2 linked regions of the Drosophila melanogaster genome follow. The protein of the gene in region 2 interacts with the protein of the main gene of each other region in a pairwise test. Each region holds a gene or a part of one and is shown on either strand. Other genes may lie near its edges.

The links.
Region 1: the proteins of CG10654 (region 2) and CG17801 interact in a two-hybrid assay, tested with the Drosophila melanogaster proteins (2 studies listed by BioGRID).

The regions. Positions count from the first base shown.
Region 1 is NT_033777.3:17,805,124-17,808,980, forward strand, and holds CG17801 (uncharacterized protein), read right to left. Parts: upstream 1,963-3,857; 5' UTR 1,947-1,962; coding exon 1,824-1,946; intron 1,767-1,823; coding exon 970-1,766; intron 900-969; coding exon 786-899; intron 726-785; coding exon 614-725; 3' UTR 556-613; downstream 1-555. Other genes in the region: Nnk (nicknack), read right to left, coding at 1-45; Odj (oddjob), read right to left, coding at 2,531-2,855, 2,913-3,032, 3,093-3,823.
Region 2 is NT_037436.4:12,504,874-12,509,459, reverse strand, and holds CG10654 (uncharacterized protein), read left to right. Parts: upstream 1-1,619; 5' UTR 1,620-1,749; coding exon 1,750-2,310; intron 2,311-2,972; coding exon 2,973-3,650; 3' UTR 3,651-4,086; downstream 4,087-4,586. Other genes in the region: sti (sticky), read left to right, coding at 1-1,103; vih (vihar), read right to left, coding at 4,312-4,586.

The sequences.
Region 1 (3,857 bases), on a different chromosome or scaffold from region 2:
TTGCGTGTATATTAAATCTCCACACAACCGGCATTGTGGCGTCATTTTTAAGAGTTATTTTTCGAGCCAAAATTCCTTGCTTTATTAACAGCTGCTGCTTCATTTTGGGCCATTCGCAGCGAACTGTTGTTGTTGTCCGCGTCTCTGGGTGACTGCCAAGCGGTGGCGCCAAAATTTGAAAATGGCGCCTTTTATTCAAGGGTCGTTATGGAATATACTCCAAGCATTTGCTTTTCGTGGCAAATAGGAATTACCAAATATATTTACCACTTCAAAAAAAGAATTAAAAATATATATTATACATAAGTTTTCTGTTTTTAAATGAAAACGATTAATTAAATAGTAAGGTATTTAACATTTCGAAATGAATGGCTGTCCAAATATTACACTCTTAAAGAAACTACTTCATAATAGGAAAAGCAAATGACAAAAATGTAATACAAAAAAGTTATAGCAAACGAAGGGCAATCCAGTGCCAAAACAGTGAGAATACGTTCAAACATTTATGTCTAATAGATATCCTGAGCCTCAGAATTATCCAAGTCGTGCTTTCATCTACATATCCCGCATCTTATAAGACGGAATTAAAAACGATCTCTAATTCTTTGGCGAATCAATGCTCTTCGGATTCCAGGATGGCGCTGGCTCTTTTCTGGTGAGCAACCGAATCGAAGTGACTCCTTAGCGTTGCCTTTCGGGCAAAGTTGATTTGGCAAATAACGCAGCTGAGAGGGAAATACACGACTTGTATTAAATATGCGCAAATTTCATATCATTTCACTTACTCAAAGGGCTTAAGACCTGAGTGCAGGAACTTGTGCTTATTCAAGCAGGTCTTGGTATTGAATCTCTTGGTGCACTGGTCGCATTGGTACCTCAGATCTCTGATGTGCCGTATTCTGTCATAGTGTTAGGAAATTGTTTATGTCAGCGCTTTTAAAGTTAAATACAATTGCAGTAAGGACTTACCGCTCATGGCTCGACTTAGCTGTACTTGTGAAAAACGTTGCCGAGCAGAAGTTGCACTCAAACGGCTGTTCGCCCATGTGGCGCACTCGTTCGTGTAGACGAGCCAGATACTTGGTGACGAACCGCTTGTCGCAGAACGTGCATGGAAAGTTCTTCTCACCCGTGTGGCGCACCATATGCGTCTTTAGGTTGTATGGAGTCTTAAAGACCCTTCCGCACTTAGGGCACACCAGGGATTGCATTTTCCGAGCTGTCCTTTTTGCAGGGGGTACATTCTCAGCTGCCACATCTTCTGGAGCTAATGCAAGGGGCTTTACTACCTTAATAGAGGGATACGTTGTAAGTAGTCTCAGATCGGTTCCAATTTGTATAAAGTTTCCCTTTTTTGGGCTTTTTGCATCGACTTTGTTAGGCAAGTTTTCATTTGCAAATGAAGGAGTCTCAATTAATGGATTTTTATGCTTAAATATTAAGGGGGTTTCCGAATCATAAGGATTATGTGGTTCGTTTCTCCTATCCTCATGGGCGAGATTTAAATCAATATCGGATTCCTCTGCTTTTTTGTCAAATGGATAGTTTTCTGAATCATATGATTCCTCCGATTCCAAGTCACTGGAATCCCCTTCTGGCTCTATATCGGATACAGTGCTTTCTAGATCCTCATCAAGCCCAGATTCCCGCCTCAGCGTTGCTTCATTGTGAACTCGTTGAATGCGCTTCTTTAACTTAATCGATGTGTTCAAGTCATTTAAACAAGATGGGCAAATATGACGCGGCTGGCGTTCATTCTGTTCTAACTGTAAATGGAGTAAATGGGTTATGCCATTCACGCACACAAGAAACCATCAACATACCCATATTCCAGTGAGATCCTTGATCTTGGCCAGAACTTCCAGGCAAAAAATTATCGTGGGATTCAGGTGACAGAAACACGAGGCGCACAAATGGCATTGCGAAGGCTTTTTCATTTCAAACATATGATCATTTATCCCGCTGAATTCCCAAAACAATCAGCTGTAGTTTAATTGATTTTATGTTGTCAATTATGGAATAAAAACGGTAAAAGAGCGTACGCAATCCGAGAATTTCTGTTTACTCTCTCTAAGCAGCAAAATTTGTATGAATTACCTGTTTCATGGCGTTACCAGATAGGTGTGGAAAAACTAACTGTTCTTATTTCCTAGAAACCAGGGAACATCGAGCTAGTTTTTATAATTTAAAATTTATATATTATAAACGGGAGGTTAAATTTTCCCAAAAAGAGAGGTTCAAGCTAAAACACACGTTCGGCTAATTCCTGACGTTTTTGAAATTGGTTCCATATAATTTTTATTAAAATAAGCGCGCTGTGCAATTAGAATAAAATATATTTTATAACAAATTGTAATCTAAGACCGACGTTGAATTCCTTCCACACTGGTGCTAATCGTACGGCTGGCTGGTGATTCAAAGGATTTCTCTGAACCACCGAAAAAGTCAGATAGTTTGCATCCCTGGCATTGTGGCGTGTGGAGTGTGGAGTGTGTGGCGCCAACAGTCGATTTTTTTTGTGTGCTTAAAGTTAGGTGTACAGCTCCTCTCCATCGGGAATGGCTTCCTCGTACTCGAAGTCCTCAAAATTTGCGTCCTCATCCTGAAGTACCTCGTGGTCCTCATATTGTTCCTCGTCAATGTTATCTAACATTACGTCCAGTTCAGCCTGGTTGTCCTCCATTTCTGCCTGCCCCTCTTCCATATATCCCGGAAACTCCGCCGGATCGACTTCAGACTGGAATTCCTCTTTTGGACCATTAACCAGCAAGTTGACCCGCTTGCGGTGATACTTTGTGGAGTAGTGCCGATGCAAAAACTGCGCCTCCTTGAACTCCTTGTTGCATGTGAGGCAGCTGTGAAAGAATATGAGTTTGTACATCTATGGCTACGTATATTTCAATGATTCTTACATATGGACATCCGGTTGGTCACTCTTGTGCCCCTCCTCGTGCTTCAGCCGTCCCTTCTCGCTGTTGAATCGTTTGCCGCATATTTTGCACGGGTGCACCAGCTCGTTGGCATGCATTTGACTGTCAAGGTTTTTATGGTTTATATAGATAAGGACTTGTGATGATTAGGCCAGCACTCACCGTTCATGACGACAGCGGCTGGGACTATTGGCGAATCCCATACCGCAGAACTTGCAGACGTACGGTTTCTCGCCCTTGTGATGGACTCGAATGTGCAATCGGAGCAGTGGCATGGTGTAGAACTTGCGACCGCACTCGTCGCATGAAAACTTCTCCTCGAAGTGCCGCAGCTTGTGATCCTTCATGTTGCTGTGATCGTTGAACGACCAACCGCACTGGTCGCACACGTATCGCTTTATCGAGCGATCGACCTTGGGTTTTGGTCGCCGCTTTCTGGGCTTTCGGACGTGCTCCCGCGGAGGTGGCGGTGGACTATCTGCCTTCTCGACCACAGGCACACGAAGCCGCTTGACCCTGACTCGTGGGGACTGTCTGTTCGGGAAATTTTGGTCCTCGATCCGGATTTTTTTGGCCGGAGGATATCTTAAAATCGGCTTTTCGTCCTCCAAGAAATCCTTATCATCATCCATTAAATCCTTATCATCGTCCAGTAGCTCCTTATCGTCCTCGGTGTCTACTGTATCATCCAGCACCTCCCGTTTCAGCAGCGGATCACTAAGCACTGGCGAAACCTCCGGGGAGCCTTTTGAGGCGACACCCGCCTTCGAGGAGATCCTCTGGTGGAGATTTGCGTGCGTCTCCAGGCATCGCTGCCTGAAGGCTACGGCTTGGGTCAGGTCCAGGAGACAACAAGCGCATATGTGCTGGGGCAGCATATTCTCTAAAACGATCTGGAAATGCATAGATTATGAATAATTCCGGACA
Region 2 (4,586 bases):
ATCAGGCACGGAAGGAGATCGAAGTGAACTGCGCCTTTGAAGTGGCCGAGCAGCAAATACTCCTATTGGGCTGTAACACGGGACTGTATGCGTATCACTTGGACTCGCAGCGATTGGTGCACATTTCTGGTCTCGAATCGGTGAGCTGCATGTCCATTTGCAAGCGCCTGGCTAAGGCTATAATGGTGGGCACAGTTGGCGAGAAGCTATATCAATGTGACTACCGCCAGCTGGAGTCACGCTGTCAGAGCTCCAGTTCGTGTCACAAGCCTGTGCTGGAAACGTCGGCCATTGAGCTGCCATTTGCCAATCGCACGCCATCGGAGAAATGGAAACTAGTGCTGATCTCCGATGAGGCGGAGAACGCATTGGATTCGGTGGCTATTGCGGCCACGTCCACTAGGATTGTCATCTTGAAGTACGACCTTAAGCTGCACATGTTTAAGCCAGTTCGAGCCTTGGACACGGCCACGCCGGTCACATCCATATTCTTTACGCGTCACTCGGCCATTGTTAGCTCGGATAAGTTCTACGAGATCGATTTGGACAACTATGCGGCTGAGGAGTTTGTGGATCTGTCCGATAAGTCAATGGAGAGCACTGCCAAGTGCCAGCCCCTAACTGCGGTGCGCATCTCACGACAAGAGTATCTGCTCTGCTTTGCCGAATATGGCGTCTTTGTGGACGAGTTTGGCTGCAGATCCAGGCCGTACGATTTGAACTGGGTCTATGCACCCACTGGATTTGTTTACCGCGATCCATTCCTATTCATATCGCACTATCAAAGCGTGCAGATAGTCCGTTTGCATCGGTCGTTCAGCAAGGAAATGGCCAGCGGGGATAACGCATCGGAGAATTCGGAATCCCCGGAACTGCAGCGCGTCTACTTGCCCCACTACATGTCCACGCTGCTGGCCAACAGCGGAGATGTCAATCTCTATGCCGTGGCCATCGATCAGAGGCCCTGCAATGGAACACAGAAGATCTACCATCTGGACACGATGCAGGCATTCAAGCAGAAGTTCAATATCTCCATGGAAACGCTGTCTTCAGTGGCCACTTCTGTGACTTTGGGCTCGACTGTCACCGGAAATAGCATATAGATGAAGGATATATATTAACTAAACGAATGGACAAAGCAAAATACTACAAACTGAGTAGTTGTAGTTATATCTAGGGTTAGGATATGCTATACATTTGGATTATTATTATTTTAACTTGTCAGAACATATGTTTTTTCACAATCTTTTTCATGTGTAACGATTGCCTAAAATCACATGGCAGAATCTTTTAAAAATTACTTAATTTACTCTTTAAATACTTTGTGCTGTATACACAAATAAAACTTGAGATTTTGATAAAAAAGGTAATTCATATTAAATTAATATATTTATTTTGATCACTAAAATATCGAAGCATATTAAAGGAAATATTTTTTAATTAATTAAAGAAGTCGCATAATATTTTAAATCAATTTTACTATGCAGGATAGCTTTTCGAATAGAATAGTTGGGGGCATGGAGTCGACGCCAAGCTTTTGGGGCTGATCCCACGCAGCTTTTCGGCAGCAGCTTTCAATGTCCCGCAATTCGAAAGCCCCGGAAATGGAATCGTGCTCTCCGCTGGCATTACTGCCATCGTTGGCTTGGCCGCTGGACGCCGGACTGCTGCACTGCCGCCGTCGCAGATTGTGTTAATTGATTTCAATTGGCTCCACGCCATTTGAGTGGCCCGTTGAATCTCCCGACGATGCCAGCAACGATGTTTGATTCCCAGCTGAGTTTGTGCGCGGGTCGCATTGTCGCCGATTCCACCACCACCACTACCTCCGGCATGGATGGATGCGATGGTGCCAAGACGATGATATGCCGCGCTTGTCTTGTGCTACTGGGTCCGCAGGATGCGTGTCACAATCTGGACAGCGAACAGGATCTGGCCAGCAAGTACTACGGCTGTACTGGAGAGGATGCCGTTAGGGATTTGCCACCCCAGTTGGTGCTGAAAAGCATCTGCGAGTGCTGCTATCAGTTGGTGCAAAAGTTCCACGACTTTCAACGCATGTGCGCAGAGTCCTTGCGCAATTTTGAGAAGCTGCTGCAGGACATCGACATCGGATGCCACAAACTGGAGGACCACACTTGGCACGACTTGGACACCCCCTCGGAGAGCAACGAGTCCACTAATCCGGAAGCCCAGTCGCACGCACCCTGCATCGCAGCGACGCAGGAGATTGTGAGTTTTATCTGGCCACAAGTGTGCCTGCCTCTGGCCGTAATCTTATCTAGAATCACATTGGGTGCTTCGCTCGAGGTGTGTTGCCTAGCAGCCAAGCAAAGACAATACTGCTCCCCATTCCCCGCCATAAACAAAAACATTTCGACAGCGTTTGTTTGTGTTGTACTATTTTTGTTTGGTGGGTGATAGCACTCGAAAAGGAGGCACGTCCCAATCTATTGGGTATTTTTAAATTTTCCACTAATAAAATTGGGAAGATGGCAACACGCCTCGATTTATGGCTCCTCCAAATAAGAAAGTCGATTTTAAAGGCCAGTTTTATCTAGAATAGATAAATGTGTTCCCTAACTTTCACTCATTTTAGATATTATTTATAGCGCCTTTAATATTTTTAGCATTAAAAAACTAAACTAAACAGATAAGTGACCGCCAAAAGTTCGGTTCACAAAATATTACTTTCATTTTATCATCTTCTAAGTCGAGCGATAAGATAATCTTAATAGCAAATTAAGGAAAAATTTCCACTTTAAAGTAATGAGTAAACATAATGTAATTCCTACCCTTACTACAAATTACTTAACTCAACCAAAAGCAGTTTGTTTTTATATGCTTAGACCCTTTTTACATAAAAAATTCCTTCATAATAGATATGTACAGAATTCCCACAAAAAAAAAAAAAAACCACCACCATTCAGTTTGCTATGGTAATTAAATATATAATACCCTAAATTTTCCAGGAGGAAGTCTACGTAATAGAGGACGAGTCAGCCAAACAGGATCTGGGCCAGGAGAAGCTATCCATTTCTAGCAAGTTGCTGGGTGCCAGAAAACGACGAGGAGTGCGACACACCCTCGAGTGCCGAATTTGCCACCGTGGCTTCTACAAACCGTCGCTGCTGGAGGCCCATATGCAGCAGCATGAGGGTCTGAGACCGTATACCTGCGTCCATTGTGCCAAGAGCTATGCCCGGGCCAATCTGCTGGAGTCGCACCTGCGGCAGATGCATAACAATGCCGACGCTGCGCGGATCATCTATGCCTGTCCGAGCTGCAACAAGGTGTACACAGCGAACCGAAGTCTCAAATATCACATGAGAAGGACGCACGAAAGGTATCACGAGTCAGAGTCCCCGGATGCGCGGCACATTTGTGAGGAGTGTGGCAAGTGCTTTGCGCGAAAGGCACATCTAACGCGCCACAAGATGGTCCATGGTAGCGTTGAGGGTCGGAGATACTGCTGCGAATGCTGCGATCGCAGATTCTACACCAAGGAGAACATGGTGGATCATCTGCTGCGCAAGCACGGCAATAAGAATCTGCTGCTCAGATGCAGAAAATGCGGACGCATTTTCCAGAACAGCGTGGAGCTCAACGCTCACGGGAGGAAACACAAAGCGATGGATGTAGTTCAATAATTCGTTTTATTTGTGGTTTCAATAACATCAAGCTAACACAACTGTTACAATGATTCGAATTACTTGGAATTTTGTTATGCCAGTATTGTGGGAGAATGCCGCATAATTGGAGATACTAAGACGACGCGAATGGTTGACGAATCGATGAGGCTGCCCTAAAATTAGCTAACATTCACATAATGGCCGGCGCAGCAGCATAGTCGCTTAAAAATCATCAGTACAAAAAAATGGCGATGGCGATGGCGCGCACTCGCAGTAGTTCTCAAAAAAGTAATCATGCGTATATAAAACAATTAACTAAAATTTATCCTTAAGCTTAAAGAACGGATGACAGTTTTAAAATTACATTACCAATACATTCATTTATCATTAATTTGTAGGGAGGAGGAAAGAAATGAGAATAAAAACCAGATTATCCGTCAATCGATCGACAATTACATAAGAAACGCACGGGGTCTTTTGCCAAATGAACTATCAGCATTGAACGTTGTTGAAATTGATCTGGTGATCCACTTAACTGATGGTACTGTGTTACGGTGGTGATTGATGATTGGTTTGTTGGTTGGCAGTAGGTCTTCGGATGAGTGGAGTTGCTTGCACTATATGTAAATAAATACGCCGCAATATGAGCATAGGATATATGACAACGAATTGCCAAACTCTAGGTGTCCTTGTGCTTCTCGTAGAAGGCGTCTAGATATTTTTTGTACTCCTTTTGGTCATTCCACATCATCGCGGCCTGCGCATTCAGTGGACTCTCGTTGTTCGGTTCGCCCAGCAGGGATTGTATGGACAGCAGAATGGTGCGCACATCGTACAGGGCCGACCATTTGTCCTTCAGTATGTCCAAACAGATGGCGCCCTGCAGATCAACATTGGGATGGAAGCAGGACGTCAGGAACTTCACCACGGGTGCTGCATACGGATAGGAATTGG